Linked DNA regions of Callithrix jacchus. The protein of the gene in region 2 purifies or fractionates together with the protein of the main gene of each other region. This does not show direct contact. Links are inferred from orthologs where the notes say so. Each region holds a gene or a part of one and is shown on either strand. Other genes may lie near its edges.

Region 1 (4,116 bases), on a different chromosome or scaffold from region 2:
GATAATACCTGAAAAGGCCCAAGCCTCTGCCTGCCACCAATCGCAGCTGATGGTCTCAATCCAGAGGGACCACTGGCACCTCATCCTGCCATCTGTAACTCCTGGCCTAATTTCTCCCACCATGCTAATGCTCATCAGTGTTTCTAAGACCTTATTGTGCATGGAAATCACCAAGGGATTTGTTAAAAATCCAGATTCTGATCCAGTAAGTAGTCTGGGCCCTGAGATTCCGCATACAAGTTCCCAGATGATGGTGATGCTGCCCTGTGGACCACTCTAGCAAAGGACTAAAGTAAGGCTGTGAAGACTCTCCCTCCTCCCTCCCCCTCCTCCTCCTCCTCCTCCTCCTCCTCCTCTGTACCCATGGCCTAGGCTGCAGAAATCTGATAGGATACACCAGTGACAGGGAAAGATACAGCAATTAGGCTTCGTTTGGGGGTCACTTGTCCCCTAGAATAGGCTTTCTGTAAAGCAGGCAGAAAGGTCCATAGAAAAGGTCAGCCAAGTAGGATGTCCCAAAGTTGCCCCTGCTGAGACCAGGCAGATCCAAAGACAACTCCCAACTTACATGATACACCCAATGGACCACACATCCACCTCGAAACTGTGCCCTTTCTTGCTCAGCACCTCGGGAGCTATGTAATTAGGAGTCCCGCACAGGGTCTTCTTCCTCTCCCCGTCATACTCGACTTTGGTTGCCAGTCCAAAATCCCCTGGGACAGAGGGAGGAAGAATGGGTACTTAAATGCCAGCCTCTGCCATCTGTCAATGCAGAAAGCTAGTTAAGGTTTGACCATCAAGAAGCAGAGCCATTTGATCCCACAAGCCTCTGCTCCTTGTATGCCGCAAGGCTTGCCCAGAAATCTTCCTGCCATGCTGACCTCAGGGAGGTGCCTCCAGTGACCCTTCACAACCCTACCCCTTAGAAAGGGGCTATGCTTCAAAATGGGAACTGACAGGGACAGCAAAACTCCAGTGCCTTCAAGAATCAAGCAAGTAACCGCCAAGACTTGGCAAGCCTGTGAAGAATAGGGAGGAGTAGAGACCTTGGCAAACATGTCAGAAGGGACAGCTGCTTTCCAGCCCAGCAATGGGCTGCCCTAAGAAAATGCCGCCCTCGTATTACTGGAGCTTTCACCTGTTTAAAAGGAGCTCTGAATCAAAATTTTTATGTCAAGCTTTCCACTTTAAAAAATAGAAACAAACTCAAATTATTTGAAAAAAAGTCCTGTATTGGGGCTATAATGTGTCTTCAGGCAAGATACTGACTTGTGGGCGTTTGTTTTAAATTTCTGGACAAAGGAGAGAATTATAGAAGCAATCAACGCCCAAACTTCTCACCATCCATCCTCTTCCTTCCTCCTGGTCTCCTTCCTATCCTTTCTCCCAGCCTCCTCCAAATTCCAGCCTCTTGTAGGGATGTCAAGCACCCTGCAGGCTCAGCAACTCACCTATTTTCACCTCCAGATCTTCATTCAGGAAAAGGTTACCCAGCTTGAGGTCTCGGTGAATAACTCGGTTTTGGTGCAGGTACTGGCAGCCAAGCACAATCTGCCGCAGATAGTATCTGGCCTCAGGCTCAGTCAGGGCTTTCCTCCTCTTGTGCAGCTCCAGGAGAGACTGTGGGTGGGAAGGAGAGGGCAGGAGGGATGGGAGGGTGGTGCTGAGGCCGGTGGGGAAGGGAGAGGGTTACTACTAGGTAAAGGAAGAACAGGACCTAGACTCCTGGCGGATCAAAGTGGCGTCTTGGTGGGTTTCTCTCCTTTCCTAAGCCCCCACCCCATTCTCCAGGACAATTGCTATCTGGACCCTCCTTTAACACTACTCACAACCATTCGCTGCACCCCTTCCCCTAGCTTCCTCTCTTACTTGGGGGTCCTCTCTCAGCCCCATTCCGGAAGCTCCGAGTGCCCAGCAGCAGATCCCTTTCCTGATTCTTATTTCCCCGGGAAGGACCGAAGTCTGGATTGCAACTACCTCCTTACTGACCAGACCCCACTCCGGAAGCTCCCAGTGCGCGGCTTCACTAACCTTGGGACTCCTCCCTGGGCACTCTAGGGCCCTAGAGTCCATTACCAGCACCCCTCCCCCCAGCGTCCAGAAGCTGACTTCCCGGTCAGCAACCTGACTCAGACTCCACTTCACTGGAACCCACTCTTCTAGCAGTTCCAAGAGGCAAGAAGCCCTTACCAAAGACACTTTCCATACCTAAGCGGGAGGCTCCCAGCACCCTTCTCAACCAGCTCCAAGTCCCAGGCACTCCCTTCCTGGGCACTCTTTCCAGCAGCTGCTCCAGGTCCAGGCTCTCCAACTGCCCCGCAGGCAATTCCAGTTCCCTAGCAGCGACACTCACCCTCCGGCGGCATAGCTCCAACACCACGAACACGAAGTCGTTGTCCTCGAAAAAGCCGTGGAATCCTACGACGTGCTGGTGGGCCAAGCTGCGGTGAATGGATATTTCCATGGACATCTTCTCTTTCTGGTGCGGCTTGAGCAGCAGAGACTTAGGCACAATCTTGCCCGCGAACACCTCCTTGGTGTCCGCGTCCGATATCTCGAAGCACTTGGCAAAGCCGCCCTTGCCCAAAAAGCGGCCCCGTACATAGCGCCGCCGACTGCGTGGGTCCACTAGGATCTCTGGGATCTCTTTCGCTGGTGGGGCCGCCGCTGGAGCTCCGGGAACCCCGGCTTTCCCAGGGTCGGCCGGTGCTCGTGCCAGCTTTCCCGCAGTCACCGCCGCACTCATGCTCTCGGAGCTGCTCTGCCGACCTCGATCCGAGCAGAGGCTCCGCTCCTCCCCGAATTCAAACGCGGCGCTGGGAACGTTACAAAAGCCTGCGCGCTACTGATTGGTCGCGGGGATTTAAAATCCAAACCCGCTCGCCGCGCGGAACCATGGGAGCGCCCTGCCCCGCAGCCGCCTTTAAACCCCGACCCAGCCGGGGAAAACTTGATTGACAGGGACACCCGAACACGTGGGATAGCCTGGGAAACCAAACCCGGCGTGGCTACGGAGACCCGGCCCGAGAAGGGAGGAATTTCTTTAGGGTTTCTCCCTTTCTTGGGCGTCCGGGAAAGCTCCTGCAGTTCACTTGCGCCTCCTCCATTAAGCTTTTCCTTAGACTTTCCTCCACCTCCACCCCACCTAGTATGTAAGCTGAGTAGGGACCTGGCACGCCAATAAAGTAGTTTGGGAGAGCCTTAACACTCGCCTCCGATGCTGTCAGCTCTCAGCCAAGCCACCCCAAATGAATTAAAATTAAGTAAAAGTGTGCTTGCCAAACATACCTTCATGGCCAGTACTGTAGTCCTGCTCCTTCAAATAACTGCTGCTTTTGAGCTCCTCAAGATTATGGAGCAGCGCTGTTTAAAGGAGGGGCCAGGGAACAGCAGCATCCCCATCACCTGAGAGCTTGTTAGAACCACAAAGGCAAATGTTCAGGCCCTACCCTAGATCTCCCGAGTCAGAGTCCGCCTCTCAACAAGACTGCTCAGGTGATTCCTACACATCCTGAAGTTGGAGAAGCACAGTACCAGAGCCCCCCATGATGCAACGAAGCTGTCTGGCCTGCTCGCTGCTGAATTTCCCAGGGCCTAAAATGGAGGACACTGTTTCTTGGTCAAAGGGAGGTAAGGTTGGAAAAATGCCTAACAAACTCGTAGGTCATAGCCAATGTGTCTTGCGGGGTTTTGTTAGGCCTCCTTTTTTTTTTTTTTTTTTTTTTGGAGATGGAGTCTCCCTCTGTCGCCCAGGCTGGATGGAGTTCAGTGGCCCGATCGGCTCACTGTAACCTTGGCTTGCTGAAAGCAATCCTCCCACCTCAGCCTCCCAAGTAGCTGTGATTGCAGGAGCCCACCACCAGGCCCGGCTCATTTTTTTTTTTTAGTAGTGACAGTTTCACCATGTTGGCCAGGCTGGTTTCAAACTGCTGACTTCAAGTGACCTGCCCTCCTCGGCCTCCCAAAGTGCTGGGATTACAGGTGTGAGCCACCGCACCCAGCCCTTCTAAAACATTTACAGCATTTAAAAGAAGAGCTCATAAAAATTAGGATATGTGGCTTTTCCTGAAAAAATTACAAGTGCTAGCTACTCTGTGCCTACGTGCTTTCAGTTTG
Region 2 (3,500 bases):
ACCCCAAATTAAATATTAATTCAAGTTGCTGGGCATGGTGGCTCAGCACTCTGGGTGGTCACAACAATGGAAGGAACGCTTGAGGCCAGGAGTTCAAGACCAGCCTGGTCAACATAGTGAGACCCTCTTCTCTAAAAAAATAAAAATAAATAAATAAATAAATAAATAAAATTAACTCAAGTGATCCCAGCATACAAAAAGGAAAGCTTTCCCCCCACCTTTTTTGGAGATGAGTCTCACTCTGTCACTCAGGCTAGAATGCAGTGGCACAATCTCGGCTCACTGTAACCTTCACTGCCCAAGTTCAAGCAATTCTCCTGCCTCAGTCTCCCGAGTAGCTGGGATTACAGGTGTGTCACCACACCCAGTTAATTTTTGTATTTTTAGTAGAAATGGAGTTTCACCATGTTGGCCAGGTTATTCTCAAACTCCTGACCTCAGATGATCTGCCTACCTCAGCCTCCCAAAGTGCTGGGATTACAGGCATGAGTCACTGCACAAGGCCCCAAAAGGAAAGCTTTTAATACTTAACAATTGTTATCATCACCTGTCTTCCCCAGTCAGAAAACAATACTATGGAATAAGGGCAAGAGGCTCTTCTACAAATGCCTTCTTCAACAAAGAATGAAAATAACTCAGAAAGACCTCTGCCTCCTTGAGAATTTACTCTAGACCTCAATCTGGCCAAGGTTAAGACTGTTTTTTAATCTGATAGAGAAACCTAAATAAACAACAAAGATAAAATTTCCTGCTAATACAAAGCCATTTTTAATATTAGCATTATTATATTAAAACATATAAACAAACAGGTGGAAGCCAAGCCAATGGTATTCTGTCAGTACCACTGAATATCTGTATTGATATATAATAATCAATTCAATGGTTGATAATTCAATGGTTGAATATGAATAATCATATTCAACATCTAAAGATATTCAATGGTAGTGACAGAACTAAATGTATTAAGATTTAGGCATATATGAGGTAGTTGCCCTTGCCATGCCCCAAAACCTCTTATACAATTGAACATGCTTATTATACTTATTCAAATCTGACTTTTTCTCTCATATTCGCCATGACCAAGTAACAAAACAAAATAATTGCCAGAAACCTCCTGATTTCCTCCTTCTTCCTCTTCTTTCTCCTCCTCTTCCTCTTCTTTCTCTACCTCCTCTTCTCCATCTTCCTCAGACTCATCTGTCATTTCTTCCTCTTCTTCCTCAAACCCATCTTCATTATCTAATTTAAACAGTGCTTGGCGCTTCTGGCGTTCCTCAATCCTTCGGAGTTTCATTGCCTCTTGCAGTTTAGCTTTTAGCACCTGAAGCTTTTCACCTGAACAGAAATATGTAGAAATGCTCTAGACATAATACAATTAAGTATGCATTTTAGGTACCTCCAGAAGTATTCTAGTCACATCCCAAAAGGAAAATCTGAGACCTTAGTATTCTGGGCTTTTTTGTTATTTGAGTACATGAGGATTATGAATTGAAGTATCAAAGAGAACTTCTGCTCCCTGGGAAAGTATACTACTCAGGGATTATAAAATCATTGTTCAAAAGAGAAAAAAGGGGGTTAGGGAGTGGAGCTTCAAAAGAGAAAAAAGGGGGTTAGGGAGTGGAGCTTCAAAAGTCTGTGGCCCAAAAGCCATGAAGAAAAACACTGATAAATTTACCTGTGTTAAAGAAAAAGAGAAACAACTCAGGCGTAAAATGGGTAAATGATATGAACTGGCAGTGCACATAAAAATAAACATATATTGTTGATAAACAAATTAAAAGTAATGCTTAACCTCACTGCTAATTAAAGAGCTCCAAATCAAAATAATGAGATACCATTTTCAACATGTTCGGCAAAAATTAGGTTTGATAATACCAATTATTAACAAGAGGAAATAGGAACTCATACACTGTGATTCAGAGTAGAACCATTCTGAAACACAACTGGATGACATATATCAGAATGTGATATATATCACAACAATTCTACTGTAAGGAATTTTGCAACTACCAACATATATCTGGTACTATCATGTAACACTGGTATGCAATAGCAAAAACTGGAACTTTAATGAATCGTGTTGTATTCATTCAATGGAATATTATGTGGCCATTTAAGAAAAGCCTTAAAAACAACATAAGGTGGATCTGAGCTCTGGAGTTAGGTGGTCTGGATTAGACCACTGGTCCTACCATTTATTAGCTGTGTAAACTTGGGCAAATGGCTTAAGTGCTCTGCATATCAGTTTCTTCATATACAAAATAAAGATACTAATGTTATTTACCTCATAGGGTTGTAAGGATTAAATGAGATAAAACATAGAAAGCACCTAGAGCAATGCCTGACAGGAAGTAAATGTTCAGTGCTACACACATTCACAAAAAATGGTACATGCATAAAAATACACACAAGAAAAAATACACGTAAGGACACACAAGAAATTGTTAATAGTTATCTTTGGGAAGACTAATTTTTCATTTAATACCTTTTTTTTCTGTGTTTAAAACTGTTTTCCATGTGATACATTACTTATGATTTCAAGGTAGGGGCAAGAGCTGTCCTTAATACATTTTTAAAACAAAAAGTATATTACAAAGCAGAATGCATGTTATGATCACATTATTAGGTGGGTTGTTTTGTTTTGGGTTTTTTTGAGACAGGATCTCTCTCTGTTGCCTAGGCTGGAGTGCAGTGCCACAATCATGACTCATTGCAACCTCAACCTCCTGGCTCAAGTTATCCTCCCGTCTCAGCCTCCCAAGTATCTAGGGCCACACGTGCATGCCACCATGTCTGGATAATTTTTTTTTTTTGTAGAGATGAGGGCTCACTATGTTGCCCAGGTTGGTCTCGAACTCCTGAGCTCAAGTGATCCTCCTGCTTTGGCCTTCCAAAGTTTTAAGATTACAGGTGTGAGCCACTGCACCCGGCCCTGTTTTTGTTTGTTTTTGTTTAAATACATATACATATGTGCAAAGAAGAGAGTTTAAAAGGATACACAATATGGTTATAGAACCTGTCTCTGATAGATTAAGTTTTTTGTTTATTCTATATATTTTTCTATAATGAATATTTATTATTTTTTATAAGACAAATGATATTTGAAAAAACAAAGTCAGCTTGTCCACCCCACACCTCTAGGTGTGCTACATGTGAATCATGGCAGAGATACTCCTGTCCAAAGTCTCCAAGGAAAAATATTCTATAACTTTTCATTATAAGGTTTTCAATAGCTATGAAGATATGCTAGAATACAAAGCAAAAACCAAAAAACAAAACCTGTGGGCTCAAATACCTGGTTTTGTGTGGCTTGCTCCTTCCAGCTTCTTAGGTGCCAAAGTCACAGATACCACATCTGCTTTTAGCTCTTCCTTTCCATCAGTGCCCACGTCTTTCACTATGACGTTCACATTCACTGTATGACCAGCCCTGGGTTTGGCTGCTGGATTAGCATGCTTCCAGAAACGCTGCTTCAAGGCTTCCAGTTCTAAACCCAAACA
Region 3 (3,500 bases), on a different chromosome or scaffold from region 2:
TTTTTAGTAGAGACAGGGTTTTACCATGTTGACTAGGCTGGTCTCAAATTCCTGACGTCAAGTGATCCACATGCCTCGGCCTCCCAAAGTGTTGGGATAACAGGCATGAGCCACTGTGACCAGCCAATTTTTTTTTTTTTTTTAAAGAGATAGGGTTTCATTACATTGCCCCGACTAATCTCAAACTCCTGAGCTCAAGTGATCCTCCTGCCTTGGCCTCCCAAAGTACTGGGATTATGGATGTAGGATTAGGATGTGAGCCACTGCAAGGGCTGCCTCCTTCAAACCTCACACTCTTCTGTCACCTGAATTTACTGAGCACAGGCTGACCAGTAGAGGTGGGGAGGCTGAAGCTGTATCCTCTTCCTACACTTCCTTCCCCTGTTATGTGAAGCTCCCAGAGCTTCATAGGAAGAAGACCAGGGTCACACACATTCCCAAAAAAGGGGCTGTGTCTGACACTCCTGGTGGGGACGAGGGAATTGCTCTCCCCGTGAGAGGACAGAGCTGCTTGTGTGGCACTGACCAAGGTAATACTCCCACACAGCTGCTACAGGGGCTACGTACCACAGCATGTCATTCAGGTCCTTGGACAGCATCCATGCCAGCTCAAACATCACCATGGCTGACTGTAAGGAAGCAGAGAAGTCTAAGATTCACGGAAGGGGCACATGTTGGGGTTAGGCCATGCAGCCAGCTGGACCTGAGCCTGCAAGGCCCTGATCAAATGCCTGCCGATGGAGGATCTGCTCAGCCAGGGCATGTGGGTGGATTCCAGCCCGACATGTGGGATGAGTACACGCTAAACTGAGAGAAGTGACAGTAACTTCTTTGCTAGCTAAAATTACTGTCTGTATACTTTATCCTACAGCAAGGGAAGAATTCACCTCGTGGGGGCAGCCCAGATGTGCAGCACTGGCTGGGGCCTCTTTGCATCTCCCTGGGGTCCTCAGTGATGCCCAAGGCAGGTGCTGAATCCCAGAGGTCAGGAGACACCATCACCTGCCTGGTTCTGCATCTGCACACTCCTCCTGCCCTGCCTGGCTGGCGTCCTCAAATGCATTCCCAGGAATGCCAGGTGAGGCAGGGAGGGCCTGGGTCCAATTACTTGAATATTAAAGAGGGAGAGGCCTCAGGACCTCCTGTGAGGAGGGTCTTTCCACCAGGGCTGCCCACATCGGAGAACTCCCCTAAACAGAGGGTCTGGATTTGGTTAGAGACCTCAAGGAAGACTGGTGTCTGACCAGAAGACCCTAAAATCCCCTTTGCTATAGGATGCTGGGCTTCCTCCAGGGAGAGAATTTCCAAGGGAACTGGCCCCATATATCAGGAGGGAGATATCTTCTCTCTCTTTTTTATAATTAGGGAGATATCTTCCCTAAGCGAGCATCAACGGCCCCCCCACCAACTGCTTAGAATTTTCCATTTGCAAGGACTGAGCAGAGAGAGCAAAAGGATGATCCTTCAAAGGACAATGGAACCTTGACAATAAAAGCGACACTGGAAAAACAGTGCTTAAGAGTTCAAGGTCCCAGTATTAAATTCTAAGACTAAATACAGGATATTTTATTAAAACTTATTGTCTAGGGCTCCTTAAGGCCCCGAGCTCTACTTAACACTATCAGCACAGGTTTTCTACCTAAATTCTGTTTTGTAAAAGACACACTGATGTGCCATATAAGTCTGTAGCGCTTTATCTTCTTGCACAGAGATTAGTACAAACTCATTCTGTATTCTTGATGATGAACAAAATAAAAGCTGCTCTTCTTTGATCACCTATTGGGTGCAAATGACCATCTTAATAAGACAGAGGTTTAAGGTCACAGAGTGGGAAGCCATGGAGCTCAGATTCAAACCAGGCTTTTGTAGCTCTGAAATCCATGTTTCTTCCTCACATTTGAGGACACTGACCCCTGGAGTCAGAACTTTACGGTCAGTTCCACCTATTTGTACTTACCGACGTCCCATGATATTCATACTGCTCGTAGTCAAAGAGGATGTCTCTTCTGTAATGACATAAAATTCAGGTCTTCATCAGGAAGTAGCAGTGGAGGAAGCCAAATGTTTTGGGAAAATGCTAAACCCGACAGCATTCAATGCAATGAAATGCAAAGTAAATCATGGTACTATTTGTTTTCATATATTGACTTCTCTTCTCTTTTTTTGGTGAGGGAACAGGTTCCTGCTCTGTCTCCCAGGCTGAAGTGCAGTGGTATGATCACAGCTCACTGTAGCCTTGACATCCTGGTCTCAAGTGATCCTTCTACCTCAGCCTGGTAAGTAGACAGGGTTATAGTATGTGCCACCACACCCAGCTAATTAAAAAGAACTTTTTTTAGAGAGACAAAGCCTCACTGTGTCATCCAGGTTGATCTCAAACTCCTGGGCTCAAGCAATCCTCCCACCTTAGCTTCCCAAAGTACTGGGATTATAGGCATGATTCACCACACCTGGCCAAGTATTGCCTCTTTAGTGGAATGTATAACTATAACCTTGGGAAATTAACACAAACTGCCAGTGGCAATGTATGATGTAAAGTGGTATAGCCCCAGAATTCCATTTCAGAGAAATTGTCCCATAATCACAATTAAAAGGAAAAAGCAAGACAAAACTTGCTGTGTGTACAAAGTAATTCACTGAAGCCTTATTTATCATGGCAAAATACTGGAAGTGACCTACATTTCGAAAAGAAGGGAAACTGCCAGTTAAGTATTATGCTCTTTAGAAAGCCTATTCAGAACTATTTTAAATGGTTATATTAAGCAGAAAGATGGCAAATCAGATGTATATCATGTAAAACATGCACAAGTATGTATAACCCAGGAATAGAAATCCAAACCCAGAATCTCTTTGAATTAGGCAGTATGATTATGGATTATTTTCACTTTTCTTTCCTTATACTTACTGAAATGGTTTTATACTATCCTTTTTTGTTTTTTTTTTTCTTTATTGCATTTTAGGTTTTGGGGTACAAGATAGTTGCATAGGTACACACATGGCAGTGTGATTTGCTGTCTTCCTCCCCTTCACCCACATCTGGCATTTCTCCCTATGCTATCCCTCCCCAGTTCCCCTCCGCGCTGTCCCTCCCCTATTCCCCGCAATAGACCGCAGTGTGTAGTGCTCCCCTCCCTGTGTCCATGTGTTCTCATTGTTCATCACCCACCTATGAGTGAGAATATGCAGTATTTCATTTTCTGTTCTTGTGTCAGTTTGCTGAGAATGATGTTCTCCTGATTCATCCATGTCCCTAAAAAGGACACGAACTCATCGTTTTTGACTGCTGCATAATATTCCGTGGTGTATATGTGCCACATTTTCCCAGTCCAGTCTATCATCAATGGGCATTTGGGTTGGTTCCAGGTCTTTGCTATTGTAAACAGTGCTGCAATGAACATTCGTGTGCATGTGTCCTTATAGTAGAACAATTTATAGTCCTTTGGACATATACCCAGTAATGGGATTGCTGGGTCAAATGGAATTTCTATTTCTAGGTCTTT
Region 4 (3,979 bases), on a different chromosome or scaffold from region 2:
TTAAGGGATAAGGGAGAAAAACCTAGGATGACTCCTAGGCTTTTGGTTGGTATGTTCAAAATAACATGGGAGAAGGAACAAATTCAAGGGCAGTAAATCAGGAGTTCTGCTTTGGATATGTTAATTTTCACTTCCCAGTATAGATGTTGAGTAAGCAACCTAATATAATCTGATCAGAAATATAAATTTGGGAGTTATCAGCATATGGATGACATTTAAAGCCATGAAATTAGGTAAGATTACTTGGGAAGAGAGCATAAATCAAAAGAGGGTTAAGGACATAGTCTGAAAGCACACTGGAGAACAGTCAAGAATGACTTCTAGATTTCTGGTTTGGAGAAATGAGTGAATATGGTGCCATTTACTGAGATATCTCTACTTCAGTGAATAAGAGAAAAATAATTTTTTGTTGTTGTTGTTAATGAATGAGAGCTTCTTACGTTGCTCAGGTTAGCCTTGAACTCATAGCCTTGCCTCCTCAAGAGCCAGGACAACTGGCGGGAGCCACCCCACGGCTCCCAATAAATTTTTTTTTTAATTTAAAAAAAGAAGTCTTGTGAAGGTTAAGACGTGAAGAATTTGTATTGGTATTGGATATGCTGAATCTTAATTACACATAGGACACTCAGTGAAACTATCAGTATACAGCAAATATACAGTTCCGTAGGAGGCAGGATTTGGAAAAACATATTTGGAGTCATCAAATAGCAGATGATAGTTGAAGGCAGGAAAGTGGAAAGGTCATTTACCAAGACTACGCAGAGTAGAATCCTAACAGCAAAAAACAATAGGACAAACTTTGTCTGAGAGACTGATGAAGAGCTGCCCATAATTAGAACACTGATCTCATTTTTTTCAATAGTCTAATTGCCGTAGTCATAAGGGAGAACATTTTGGAAGAAAAGGCCTTGATAGCTTGAATCTGAACCCTAGCTCTGATACCTGCTAGCTGTGCCTTTGGTTTTTCAACTTCTGTGACCCTGTTTCTTAAACAGTGATAACTCCTGTTCCATCCTATGTCATGGACATACTATGAAAATGGATGAGCTTGTTTCATTGAAGTAGTTGTAGCGAAAAAGCCATGAAAATTAAAAACTATTAGACAATTTTCTATAGGTCAATTTTTCTATTTCTCTTGGAATGGCTACAAATGGAAGATAACATAAGCTCTACTGATGAAACAGACTATATATAATCCAAGAACCAATTATTTTTATTAACAGGTCTCATGGAGGAAGACAGAAGAGGGAAGAGAAGTATTAATTCTACTTTAAAATGAATTAATTAGTAGAGCTAATTCTACTTTAAAACAAAGTGGGAAAAATATACTGAGCTTCACAGTGAGCCTGAAAGATAAAATCTGTAAAACAACTTCCTAAAATGATCACTTTTCTTCATCTTCTTTTAGAGAGGTATACGTTATTTTATAAACTGTAAACACAAAAGTATACTTGCCACACTAATAAAAAGTGGAAAAAATTCACACAGTCAAAAATAGTGATGCAGTTAGGACAAGAATCGTCCCTTCATTTATCCTCTTATTCATATATTAAGACTAGATTATTTGCATGGCCAACCAGTGGAAATGAACACAACTGCGCTGCAAAAAGAAAGGGAAGCAGCTATCCCATCGGCTTAATGTCAGTTTTGACTGTGTATGGAGAGTTTTCAAACCGTTTAAGAAATTGGGAAGCAGTTATTCCAACTGATCATTCAACTGCGGTAGTAGCACAAGCTCATTTATTTCTTGTTCGCAGTAGTTTAGAATTAAAACAAACAAAACAAAACCAGCCCTACTGAGTCTTTAGGCCTGGTTCAGGAAAGCCTGCCTGAGTGTTACAGGGGTGTGGCAGTCATCAACACCTCTCCCTCCCTCTTTCGGTAAGACACTGGTTTTCATGAGGTTTACAGAAAACAGGCATTTGCAAATGAACTATTAAATTGCCTCCAAATTTTGGCAACAGTCTGTGCACGTTAAGATTTTGTGGACACTGAGGTCTATCTCTCCAATTTCTGACTAAAATAACGTATCGAGGACTGGACGATTAATACGAAGGAGTTCACATCTTCAATATGTACTATGACTTCACTTCAAAGAAAATAACTGCCTTTTCCATCAAGTGATGTCACTTGCAGAAAATGAGAAGCGGTGATTTTTTTCCAAGGGCAGTTTGGGGACAAAATATAAGGCTAAAAACCAATTCCTCCACGAGTGATCACAAAGAACAGAAACTGATGAGTCAAGTCTCTCGTCTAAGGAAAGGGGTTTTCGAGAAGAAAATGAGTGTAGAAAAGTGACCATAAAGTGATCAGCAGGGACTCTTCCCTCGAGCTGCAGGAAGCAAACTCTCGGGTTGGGCGAACTCTCCGGCGCTGCTGAGGTAAACCCGGGCCGGCAGACGCCTCTCTCTCCCCTAGAATCGGCTTCCCGCAGGTTTGTGGCGACGACCCCACGTCCCCACGTCCCCACGTCCCCACGTCCCATCGACGAGCACTCTGAGGGAGAAGCGCCCAAATGAGCCACGGAGCATCTCCACAAGGGCAGCAGCTGGGGCTTCGGGGATCCGAACCACGGCGCGGCAGGAGAGGGGAGAGCACGTGAAACCCCAGCCGGGATCGTCAGAGGAGGATGCAGGACCCAGGATGGGCCTAGCCCTACCTGCCCAGCTCCCGCAGAGCCGGGATCATGGACGCCAGCTCCAGGCCAGGTTCCCCCATGCTGAGGCTGCCTGACACTCGTCAAACACGCCGACGCGGGTTCCTGGCGTCTCCAAAGCTACCCCGGCCGGAAGAGAACGGCGCCCGACGGAGCCTCGTGGGGGCCAAAACTCTTCCCGGAAGCCGCTATTGGCCCCGCTTGCCGGGCCCTGCGTCTGTTTTGTAGAGGACCCGGGGGAAGCCGGGAAGCAGTTAGGGGGCGGGGCAAGCGGGCGAGCGCGCGCCGGTCGAACTTCCCTGGTTGGGTTCAGGACTTAGTTCTCAGCACTAAGCGAGCAACGTTTGTGAAGTTTTCGTCTTGAGCGGCCAGACTGCTGTTCTGAAGCCTGGGAGGCACAGCGAAGCCAGACCCCCGAATCGGGAGAGGCTAGGGGCTTGAGGGCTGCCAACCCAGAATCTCGCTTCACAAATGTGAGAACTAGGACAGTTCAGCGAGTAAAGGCCAAAAGTAGACTCCGTTTCCCCAGAGTAACGCTGTCACATTTTAAAAGTTTCTCACTTCGCCACTACTCTTGTCACGCTGTTGAGAGAGAAAGGGCAAAAGGTGGGCTCTCCCTGTTTGTTTTTCTTTTTAAGCATTTTTTTTCGACTTGAAGTCGCTCTTAGGTTTCCGTGAGGACCCTGCCAACATATAATATTTAAAAATGGGGTTGGATTATATTTGTGTCTCATCAGAGCAGCAGTACTGTGGAAATGCCACCATTACAGGCATCCACAACCTGTGATTTATTTTTTATTTACTTATATTTTTTGAGACGGAGCCTTGCTCTGTCACCAGGCTGGAGTGCAGTGGCGCAATCACGGCTCGCTGCAACCTCCACCTCCTGGGTTCAAACGATTCTTCTGCCTCAGCCTCCCGAGTAGCTGGGACCACAGGCGCGTGCCCCCACGCCCGGCTAATTTTTTTTGTATTTGTAGTAGAGACGGGGTTTCAGCATGTTGGCCAGGATAGTCTCGATCTCTTGACCTCGTAATCCGCTCACCTCAGCCTCCCAAAGTGCTGGGATTACAGGCGTGAGCCACCATGCCCGGCCCTGTGATTTAATTTTTAAAGTAAATCAATGGATTTGGGGAATATACATTTTCTCGAGAATACAGACCAGCATTCCCTAACCTTTTTGGCATCAGGGACCAGTTTTGTGGAAGACAATTTTTCCATGGACAGGGAGGTGAAGGGAGGTTTTCGGGATGATTCAAGCACATTACATTTATTGTGCACTTTCTACTATTGCATTGTAATATGTAATAAGTCATTATACAA
Region 5 (4,084 bases), on a different chromosome or scaffold from region 2:
TGGCCCCCAGATGTCCTCCAGCCTCCCAAATCTAGGGACAAAAAAAGACAGTCAGTTGTGCTCTATCTCCTCTCTGGTTGCACCTGCTTAATTTCTCCCCAGCTTCCTTGTTCTGAGGACGACTGCACCTTCTGAGCAACAGAAGATTCCAGCAGGAAATTAAGACCTTAAGACCTTTGATGAATGAAACAGGACTTGTCCTCAGGCCTTTCTCCTTTCAACCTTTTCCACTTTTGCCGTCCCAGGTCCTGAGGTAGTTCTCCCCTCTCCAGGCCATTAGACACCCATCTCTAAGGGGCGTCCTTCAAGGCTACCTCCTAGTGCAGGTTCAGCCCTGGACAGAACTGGAGAAGGGCAGGGCCCTGGAAGTCAGCCTGAAGATGGTGCTACTGAAGCCAGCTTCCTTCTTGTGCAGCAGCTGCAGGCCTTGGCAATCTGTTGGCATGGTGGACAGAGTTTCCCATTCCCAGTTAGGTCACAGATGGGAGAGAAACCTCCCTAGGAAGGAGTGAGCCATAGAAGAAAAAAAGCCAAGAATGAACACAGGAGTCAAGGGACTACCCATCACTGCCATCACTGGTCCTGAGGACTGCTACATGATCCTGTGCTGCAGTTTCTTTCCCTCATGGTTCTTCACCTTAGCTCCAGGGAAAGAGGCTCACAAACCCCCTATCCATTTATGCACCTTGTTCCCTTGGCTCTCAATTAGCTGGTACTATACTAAAGATGCCAACAATATGGCCCTTGCCCCATAATGATCTGCCCATTCGCCTTCTTCCCCTAGAAGAATGGCTCTGAGACAGCATGTATGTCTAATAAAATAACTTCAGGCTGGGCAAGGTGGCTCATGCTTGTAATCCCAGCACTTTGGGAGGCTGAGGCGGACAGATCTCTTGAGGCCAGGAGTTCAAGACCAGTCTGGCCAAAATGGTGAACGCTCATCTCTACCAAAAAATACAAAAATTCACCGGGCGTGATGGCACATGCCTGTAGTCCTGTCTACTCAGGAGGCTGAGGCATAATAACCGCTTAAACCCAGGAGGCAGAGGAGGTTGCAGTGGGCAGAGATCATGCCACTGCACTCCAGCCTGGACCACAGAGACCCTGTCTCAAAACAAGAAAACAAAAAAACTGTCCTGCCTAGGAAAATGGATTTGCCCAGAAATAAAATGACTTCAAATATTAAGAAAAGGTCTTACAGTGGCTAGGGACTGTTGTAAAAATTATCAAAAATGAGAGCTAGGACATGGGATAGCACTCCCTCTATGCAGTCCCTGGACTAAAAACTTACATGTGGCCAGGCTCAAGCCTGTAATCCCAGCACTTTGGGAGGCCAAGACGGGCAGATCACCTGAGGTCAGGAGTTAGAGACCAGTATGACCAACATGGAAAAGCCCCATCTCTACTAAGAATTCAAAATTAATTGGACATGGGGGTGCATGCCTGTTATCCCAGCTACTCAGGAGGCTGAGGCAGGAGAATCGCTTGAACCTGGGAGGCAGAGGTTGCAGTGAGCTGAGATCGTGCCACTGCACTCCAGCCTGGGAACAAGAGCAAAACAATGTCTGAGAGGGCGGGGGGGTCGCGGGGGAGCTGGTAGGGCTGGGCTAGGTGGCTCACGCCTGTAATCCCAGCACTTTGGGAGGCCAAGATCAGGAAGATTGAGACCATCCTGGCTAACACGGTGAAACCCCATCTCTACTAAAAATACAAAAAATTAGCCGGGCGTGGTGGCGCAGGCCTGTAGTCTCAGCTACTCGGAATGCTAGGGCAGGAAACTCGCTTGAACCTTGGAGGCACAGGTTGCGGTGAGCCGAGATCGCGCCATTGTACTGTACTCCAGCCTGGGCGACAGAGGAAGATTCCGTCTCAAAAACAAAACAAACAAAACAAAAACACCTTACATGCATCATCTCATTTAATCCACAAAAATCCGAGGCGGTGTTACCATTATCCCCAGTCTTGCAGATGAAGAGGCTGAGGCTAACTTTGTCCAAAGTCAGAAACCCAAGTTTCTCTGACTCTAGATCCCAAGCTGAGAGTCTTGCTCAGATCATCTCAGGACTCTTCTTTCTTCTTGCACTTGGGGTGCAACATGGAGCAATGAGGCCAGTAGTGTGTGACATACTGCACCCTCAGAAGAGGCTTCTGTTTCAGACCCCTTATTCTACAGAGGAAGGAACTGGTAGGTCGCACAGAGCCTGGGCCTGCTCTGCAACGGAATCGCAACGGGCACTAGAATTCTAGTCCAAGCCCCATTTTACAGAGCCGGGGAGCTGAAGCCCACAGCGCCTGGGGGCCTCCCGGGCTCCGAATCCACCAGCGGCTGAGCCAGATCCAGCCTCGGGCGCACTCACTGCCCTGCCCGATTCTACCTCCGCGTTCACCTGCGGCGCGAACCCTCCCCGCGGGCTGCCAGCGCCCGGGAGTACCTGTCCGCCACGCTCAGGGCCCTCGGCTCGAAGTGACCAGACGCTGGTGCAGGCGAGCGGGGCTCCGCGGGCCACAACCGGACCCCGGCCTCGCGGACCCGGGTCGCCTCGCCAGTCCCTCTCCTGAGAACGCCGAGGCCTCAGCAGCGTGTGGACGCCGGGACGCCGCCGAGAATTGGGAAGCGCTGGTCTCGGAGGCAAGGCCGGCTTGGTCTCCTCTCCTCAAGTCCCCTGCGCCGCCCCCCGCCCCCCGGACCTTCTGCAAACCGGGTCCCAGCCCCAGCGCACCTCAAGAAGAAACAACACGTTCGCGCTTCGTGGAGTCAAGCGGTCGGGACTCTAAGTAGGGGCGAGGTTCCCATGGCAACGAGGGGACACTCTTTGCGCCTGCTCAGAGGCGCTAGGCACGCTGGGAAATGTGGTTTCCGGGTTGTCCATGGAGGCTAACGGAACGGACGCAAGGTGGCGCCCAAACGTCGCAGTCGATGTGGGTAAGTCCCGGTCCCCAGCTCCCGGGCGCTGCGGGCGCGGGAGAGACCGCGAAGGTCTGAAAGATAGTTTCTCTGAGGCAACTGAGATACGCAGTGAGGAGACGGAGGCACAGTCTCTTCAGCGCGGTTGATTTTGCCGTTTGAAAAGTTGGCATGACGAGGGACTGTGCTGGCTAGCGCGAAGGCGGCCGCTTCTGAGGCCCCGCCCCAGCCTGGGCAGAGCCGGACGCAGAAGAGGGAGGACGCTCGGACTGTGGGAGCTGGTTCCAGAGGGACGCGCGCCACGGTCGTGCAGCAAGTGTTCCGGGTCCGGGCTGGGCGACCCCTCGCGCTGCTGAGGGGCTCCTGTGCCCAGTGGGAATTGAAAGCGGGCTCCGGGAGCAGCAGCCATCCGGACCCTCGCACTCGCGAGCTCCGAGCACTTCCGGACCCAGGGCCTTCCTTGGGCGGAACTGTGCATTCAGTTGACTGCCCGGGAGCCACCTTCCCCACTCTCGAGTTAGGCTCAAACAATGACAATCTAGAAACCTAGGATCTGGCCGGGCGCAGTGGCTCACGCTTGTAGTCCCTGCACTTTGGGAGGCCGAGGCGGGTGGATCACCTAAGGTCAGGAGTTCGAGACCAGCCTGTCCAACATGATGAAACCCCTTCTCTACTAAAAATAGAGCAAGGTGCGGTGGTGGGCACCTATAATCCCAGCTACTCAGGAGGCTGAGGCAGGAGAATCGCTTAAACCCCGAAGGCAGAGGTTGCAGTGAGCCAAGATTGCACTCCAGCCTAGGCTACAGAGAAAGACTGGGTCTCAAAAATAAAAATAAAAATACACATAACAATATATTTGATTACGTAAGCATGGGATACCTGGAGGGCCTCGAAGGCAGCTGCAGTCATTGCCTGAGTAGACATGAAGGACTGGAAGACAGAGTAGGAGTCAGTTTACTTTTCGTTTTATATGTTTCTTTGTTATTTTTTTGACCCTTTAGCAATTTCTATGAGCTTTGTGTACACAGAGGGTTTTTGTTTTGTTTTGTTTTGTTTTGAGACAGAGTCACCCTCTGTCACCAAGGCTGGAATGCAGTGGTGCCATCTCCATCTTGCAACCTCCGCCTCCCCGGTTCAAGCAATTCTCTTGCCTCAGCTTCTCAAATAGCTGGGATTACA
Region 6 (4,108 bases), on a different chromosome or scaffold from region 2:
TACTCTAGTCATCCTAAGAATTTACCCAAGAAAAAGGATCTAGAGGTGAAAATGTTTTTGTGTGTCTTCTGTAGGGAAAGGAGGAAAGCAGAAGAAAAGGGAAGGTGGTTGTTGGTCTCTTTTTTTTTGAGACAAGAGTCTCACTCTGTCATCCCATGGCATATGCACTGGCGTGCTCAGCTCACTGCAAACTGCCTCCTGGGTTCAAGTGATTCTCCTGCCTCAGCCTCCCGAGTAGCTGGGATTACAGGTGTGTGCCATCATGGCTGGCTAATTTTTGTATTTTTAGTGGAGACGAGGTTTTGCCACATGGTCCAGGTTGGTCTCAAACTCCTGACCTTAAGTGATCTGCCTGCTTCAGCCTCCCAAAGTGCTGGGATTACAGGCTTGAGCCACCGTGCTGGTCTGTTGGTCTCTTTTAACCCTAAAATTTTTAAGTTCTGCTTTCAAGAGCACAGCAGGGGAAGGGCTGGCAAACAGATTTACAAGTCAGACTGAGATCAACTTTAATCTTACATGTTTAATTTAATACCAAACACAAAGCAAACACGTTCATCATCTAGAGTACCATATTCCAACCCTACCTCAAATGCAGGAATGGGTCTCTATCTGGTATCTAGAGGATGATCACAGGAATGAAAATGAGGACAGAGGCATCGGTATCTTCTAAAAGTGGTTTCTAAAACCCCCCACCTGTCATGTCATAAAGCTCCCCTCCTGGTGCTATGACCCACCTCCAAGAGAAAGCCACAAGGAACAGACCAATAAGAGGGGTCCAGGGTGCTTTCTGTATTTCACTCACTCACTCTTATTTGCTAAGGAGCTCTAATAACCAAAAGAAATGGTTCTTAGAAGAGGAGGAATAAATCTCCAGAGAGCTGCTAGGACATACTGATAAAAACGGGGAGAAACAAAGACTGATAGTAGAGAAGTCCAATACTGCTGCTGAAGTTTCTCAGCCTAAATCCATGGAAGAGCCCAGGATTTTACTGCTCTGTCAAGTAAGAGGAGTTTCTGGGTCTTGTATGATCCTTCCAACTCTGACTTAAATGCACCATCTAAAAATCTGTCTATCTCTACCCCTAGGCTTCTTAGCTCTTCAGTCATCCTCATCATCCTCAATCTGAAATCGTTTCTTCTTCTGGATACCTGGAGCTCCCAATTCTGGCACTGTGGGAACAACAGGGGCGAGAGACAGAGAGAGAATATCTAAATATGCTAAGGGGTAAGGAGGTTGGTAGAGTTTGTCTTCAGGATTAGAGAAGAAAAAGAAGGTCCCATCAGATTCCCTACCTCTGTTACTGCCCTCATCTTCTTCCTGTTCCTCATCACTGTCCAGCAGTTGTCGCTTCTTGGGTGCTGCCTTCAGCGGCTCTTTACCAACAACAGTGTCTTCCTCTGCAATGACCGTAAATGACACAAAAAACAGGAACTCAATCCTCTTATTCTCAAAATACCCTGCCAGCCCTCTAGACCAGCATGCTGACAAGTTAATACTCAGAGGATGGCTGTTGCACTATTACCCTCTGGGGACGCCAGGCCTGCTTTCTTCTTGCGGGCTAGCAAGAGAGCTCTTAGGGCTTGAGCTCGATGCTCTTTATGGTGCTCCTCATCAGAGTCTTGCTCTCCAGGGACTTCAGGCTGTAGCTCTGGCTGCAGCTTCTGTTCCTCCTCTGGTTGACTCAAAGAAGCTGCTACCCTCCGGAGCTGGGTGGGACTCAGCTTGGCTGGAATTCGCCAGAAGGTTTCCTACAGGGCCCAAGAAGTTGAAAAGGGAAAGGACCAGCCTCTTGTTCCCCAGAGTTTGATATTCATTCAGTAAATATGACCCAACATTGGTGAAGATCCACAAGGGCTGTAAACTCTACTTGTTATAATACTTACTTATCCAATATATTCCCAATGCCTAGTATAGTGCCTGCTACATTAGTAGGTTTCCAGTAACTATAGGTTTTTTTGGTGGTTGGTTTTTTTTTTTTTTTTTTTTTTTTAATAAGAAGGGGTCTGCCTCTGTCACTCAGGCTGAGGTGCAGTGGCACAATCATGGTCCAATGTAGTCTCCATCTCCTGGGCTCAAGCTATCCTCCTGCCTCAGCCTCTCGAGTAGCTAGGACCACAAGGGTACACACCACTAAGCGTAACTATTTCATAATTTTTTGTAGAGACAGGGTCTTGCTATGTTTCCCAGGCCAGTCTCAAACGATCCTCCCACCTGTTTCCAAAAGCCACTGTGCCTGGCTATAGCTGTTAATTGAATAAATAAATATATAAATCCTGGGGATATAAAGGTGAATCAGGTATGATCCTTGCCTTCAAATAACTCACAATCCAACGGGAAAAAGAACAAATGTGCCATAATATTACAGGATTTTTTTTTTTTGAGGCAGAGTCTTGAACTGTTGCTCAGGCTACAGTGCCGCGGCAAAGCGATCTCAACTCACTGCAACCTCAGCCTCCCAGGTTCAAGCAATTCTCCTGCCTCAGCCTCCCAGGTAGCTGGGACTCTAGGCGCCTGCCACCACACCAGGCTAATTTTTGTATTTTTAGTAGAGACAGGGTTTTTGCCATGTTGGCCAGACTGGTCTCATGACCTCAGGTGATCTGCCTGCCTCGGCCTCCCAAAGTGCTGGGGTTACAGGCATGAGCCACCGCACCCAGCTGATACCACAGGATTGAGGCTGTATCACGGGAATGAACAAACTGCAGCTGCAAAAGTGACTCTTTACTTCATACATTGAAAGAGTAACAGAGACTGCTTCTCTGACAAGGTGACAGTTGAGCAGACTCTCGAAGACTGGGTAGAGGTCCATCGGTAAGACAGATGGAGTATGTATGTCAACTTGTGTGCATGGTTGCAGCCGGCCTTCCAATAGAGGGACTGGCCTGATTAACCATTTGGAGGCAGGAAGAATCCTACCACGGTGACTATGATGTAAAGTAGGTGTGTGAGTGGCATGGCAGTGAGGCTGCAAAGGTTTGCCAAGGATGGGCATGCCATTTGGAGTTTGTGGATTCTGTCCTGCAAGCAGTAAGGAACTATCAAGGGCTCTGGACATGGGAGTTGACCCTTCATATCCACAGGTTCTGGATCTTTGGATTCAAAATACTGTGGATTGACAATATTCTGAAAAAACAACAATACAACATTAAATAATAATATACAGCCTGGGCAACATGGCAAAACCTCATCTCTACAAAAAATTAGCTGGGAGTGTGAAGCGACAGTGAGCTGAGATCGAGCCACTGTACTCCAGCCTGGGCAATGGAGTGAGACTGCCACACACACACACACACACACACATATACAATACAGTATAACAATTGTTTACCTAACATTTACAGTATAACAATTATTTGCTTAACATTGTATAGGTATTATATGTAATCTAGACATGACTTAAAGTATACAAGAGCATGGACATAGGTTATTCACAAATACTACAAAAAGGGACTTGAGCATCTGTAGATTTTAGTATCTGTTGGGGGGTCATGGAACCCATCCCCCCTCAGATACCAAGGGACAACTATAATCAAAACATATTTTAGAAAGCTAAATCTGGGTCAGTATGGAAGATGGATTTAGGGGAAGAGGAGATTAGAGAGAGGAAAAGAAGACTAACAGAATGGCTGCTGCAGGAATCTTGGTCAGAGATGACAAGGCAATGAGGAGGACCACCATGACAGTGGGGAGGACCATGGTGGCATCTACAGTGAGGAAGAGGAGATGTATTTGGAAATAGGACGAACAAGCCTTGGCTGACACTGTAACTGGCAAATGTACCTGCCCAGAGGCGGGGGGCTGAACCCCTAGCTTGCGCAACAGCTGCTGAAACTGTTCATTTTCCATGGCTTCCTCATTTTCCTCTGTGAGTGGCACCAACGGAACTGCCTGGGAGCAGCCTAAGACAGGGTCAACAGTCACATGGTGAAGACATGAGGGAAGAACTGGTCCTCCGTCCCATGACCAGGTCTCCAATAGCACCCAGGGCTCTAGTCCTCCTAAAATCATCATCTGTCCACTCACCATCCTCTTCCCGATCATCAGCTGCTCGGATCAGGCAGTTCTGGAGCCACAGAAGCGGGGTAGAAAAGCCTAAGGAAATGAGGG

What was found.
Region 1: the proteins of CLSPN (region 2) and PLK1 purify together in Homo sapiens (affinity purification with western blotting; 3 studies listed by BioGRID, with this or other methods). This does not show direct contact. The link is inferred for Callithrix jacchus from reciprocal best matches to the Homo sapiens genes CLSPN and PLK1.
Region 3: the proteins of CLSPN (region 2) and CDC45 purify together in Homo sapiens (affinity purification with western blotting; 4 studies listed by BioGRID and IntAct, with this or other methods). This does not show direct contact. The link is inferred for Callithrix jacchus from reciprocal best matches to the Homo sapiens genes CLSPN and CDC45.
Region 4: the proteins of CLSPN (region 2) and ATR purify together in Homo sapiens (affinity purification with western blotting; 3 studies listed by BioGRID). This does not show direct contact. The link is inferred for Callithrix jacchus from reciprocal best matches to the Homo sapiens genes CLSPN and ATR.
Region 5: the proteins of CLSPN (region 2) and RAD9A purify together in Homo sapiens (affinity purification with western blotting; 3 studies listed by BioGRID and IntAct, with this or other methods). This does not show direct contact. The link is inferred for Callithrix jacchus from reciprocal best matches to the Homo sapiens genes CLSPN and RAD9A.
Region 6: the proteins of CLSPN (region 2) and TIMELESS purify together in Homo sapiens (affinity purification with western blotting; 4 studies listed by BioGRID). This does not show direct contact. The link is inferred for Callithrix jacchus from reciprocal best matches to the Homo sapiens genes CLSPN and TIMELESS.

Annotation. Positions count from the first base shown.
Region 1 is NC_133513.1:24,285,675-24,289,790, reverse strand, and holds the start of PLK1 (serine/threonine-protein kinase PLK1), read right to left. Parts: upstream 2,801-4,116; 5' UTR 2,747-2,800; coding exon 2,354-2,746; intron 1,621-2,353; coding exon 1,452-1,620; intron 714-1,451; coding exon 569-713; intron 1-568. UniProt on the Homo sapiens protein: Serine/threonine-protein kinase that performs several important functions throughout M phase of the cell cycle, including the regulation of centrosome maturation and spindle assembly, the removal of cohesins from chromosome arms, the inactivation of anaphase-promoting complex/cyclosome (APC/C) inhibitors, and the regulation of mitotic exit and cytokinesis.
Region 2 is NC_133508.1:72,333,674-72,337,173, forward strand, and holds part of CLSPN (claspin), read right to left. Parts: intron 3,488-3,500; coding exon 3,296-3,487; intron 2,069-3,295; exon of another isoform or gene 1,336-2,068; coding exon 1,112-1,335; exon of another isoform or gene 1-1,111.
Region 3 is NC_133502.1:211,188,444-211,191,943, reverse strand, and holds part of CDC45 (cell division control protein 45 homolog), read right to left. Parts: intron 2,007-3,500; coding exon 1,958-2,006; intron 630-1,957; coding exon 568-629; intron 1-567. UniProt on the Homo sapiens protein: Required for initiation of chromosomal DNA replication. Core component of CDC45-MCM-GINS (CMG) helicase, the molecular machine that unwinds template DNA during replication, and around which the replisome is built.
Region 4 is NC_133518.1:42,028,992-42,032,970, reverse strand, and holds the start of ATR (serine/threonine-protein kinase ATR), read right to left. Parts: upstream 2,801-3,979; 5' UTR 2,719-2,800; coding exon 2,660-2,718; intron 1-2,659. UniProt on the Homo sapiens protein: Serine/threonine protein kinase which activates checkpoint signaling upon genotoxic stresses such as ionizing radiation (IR), ultraviolet light (UV), or DNA replication stalling, thereby acting as a DNA damage sensor.
Region 5 is NC_133511.1:124,400,623-124,404,706, reverse strand, and holds the start of RAD9A (cell cycle checkpoint control protein RAD9A), read right to left. Parts: upstream 2,801-4,084; 5' UTR 2,433-2,800; intron 32-2,432; 5' UTR 1-31. UniProt on the Homo sapiens protein: Component of the 9-1-1 cell-cycle checkpoint response complex that plays a major role in DNA repair. The 9-1-1 complex is recruited to DNA lesion upon damage by the RAD17-replication factor C (RFC) clamp loader complex.
Region 6 is NC_133510.1:63,246,508-63,250,615, reverse strand, and holds the end of TIMELESS (protein timeless homolog), read right to left. Parts: intron 4,094-4,108; coding exon 4,025-4,093; intron 3,901-4,024; coding exon 3,782-3,900; intron 1,750-3,781; coding exon 1,524-1,749; intron 1,399-1,523; coding exon 1,294-1,398; intron 1,171-1,293; coding exon 1,100-1,170; 3' UTR 501-1,099; downstream 1-500. UniProt on the Homo sapiens protein: Plays an important role in the control of DNA replication, maintenance of replication fork stability, maintenance of genome stability throughout normal DNA replication, DNA repair and in the regulation of the circadian clock.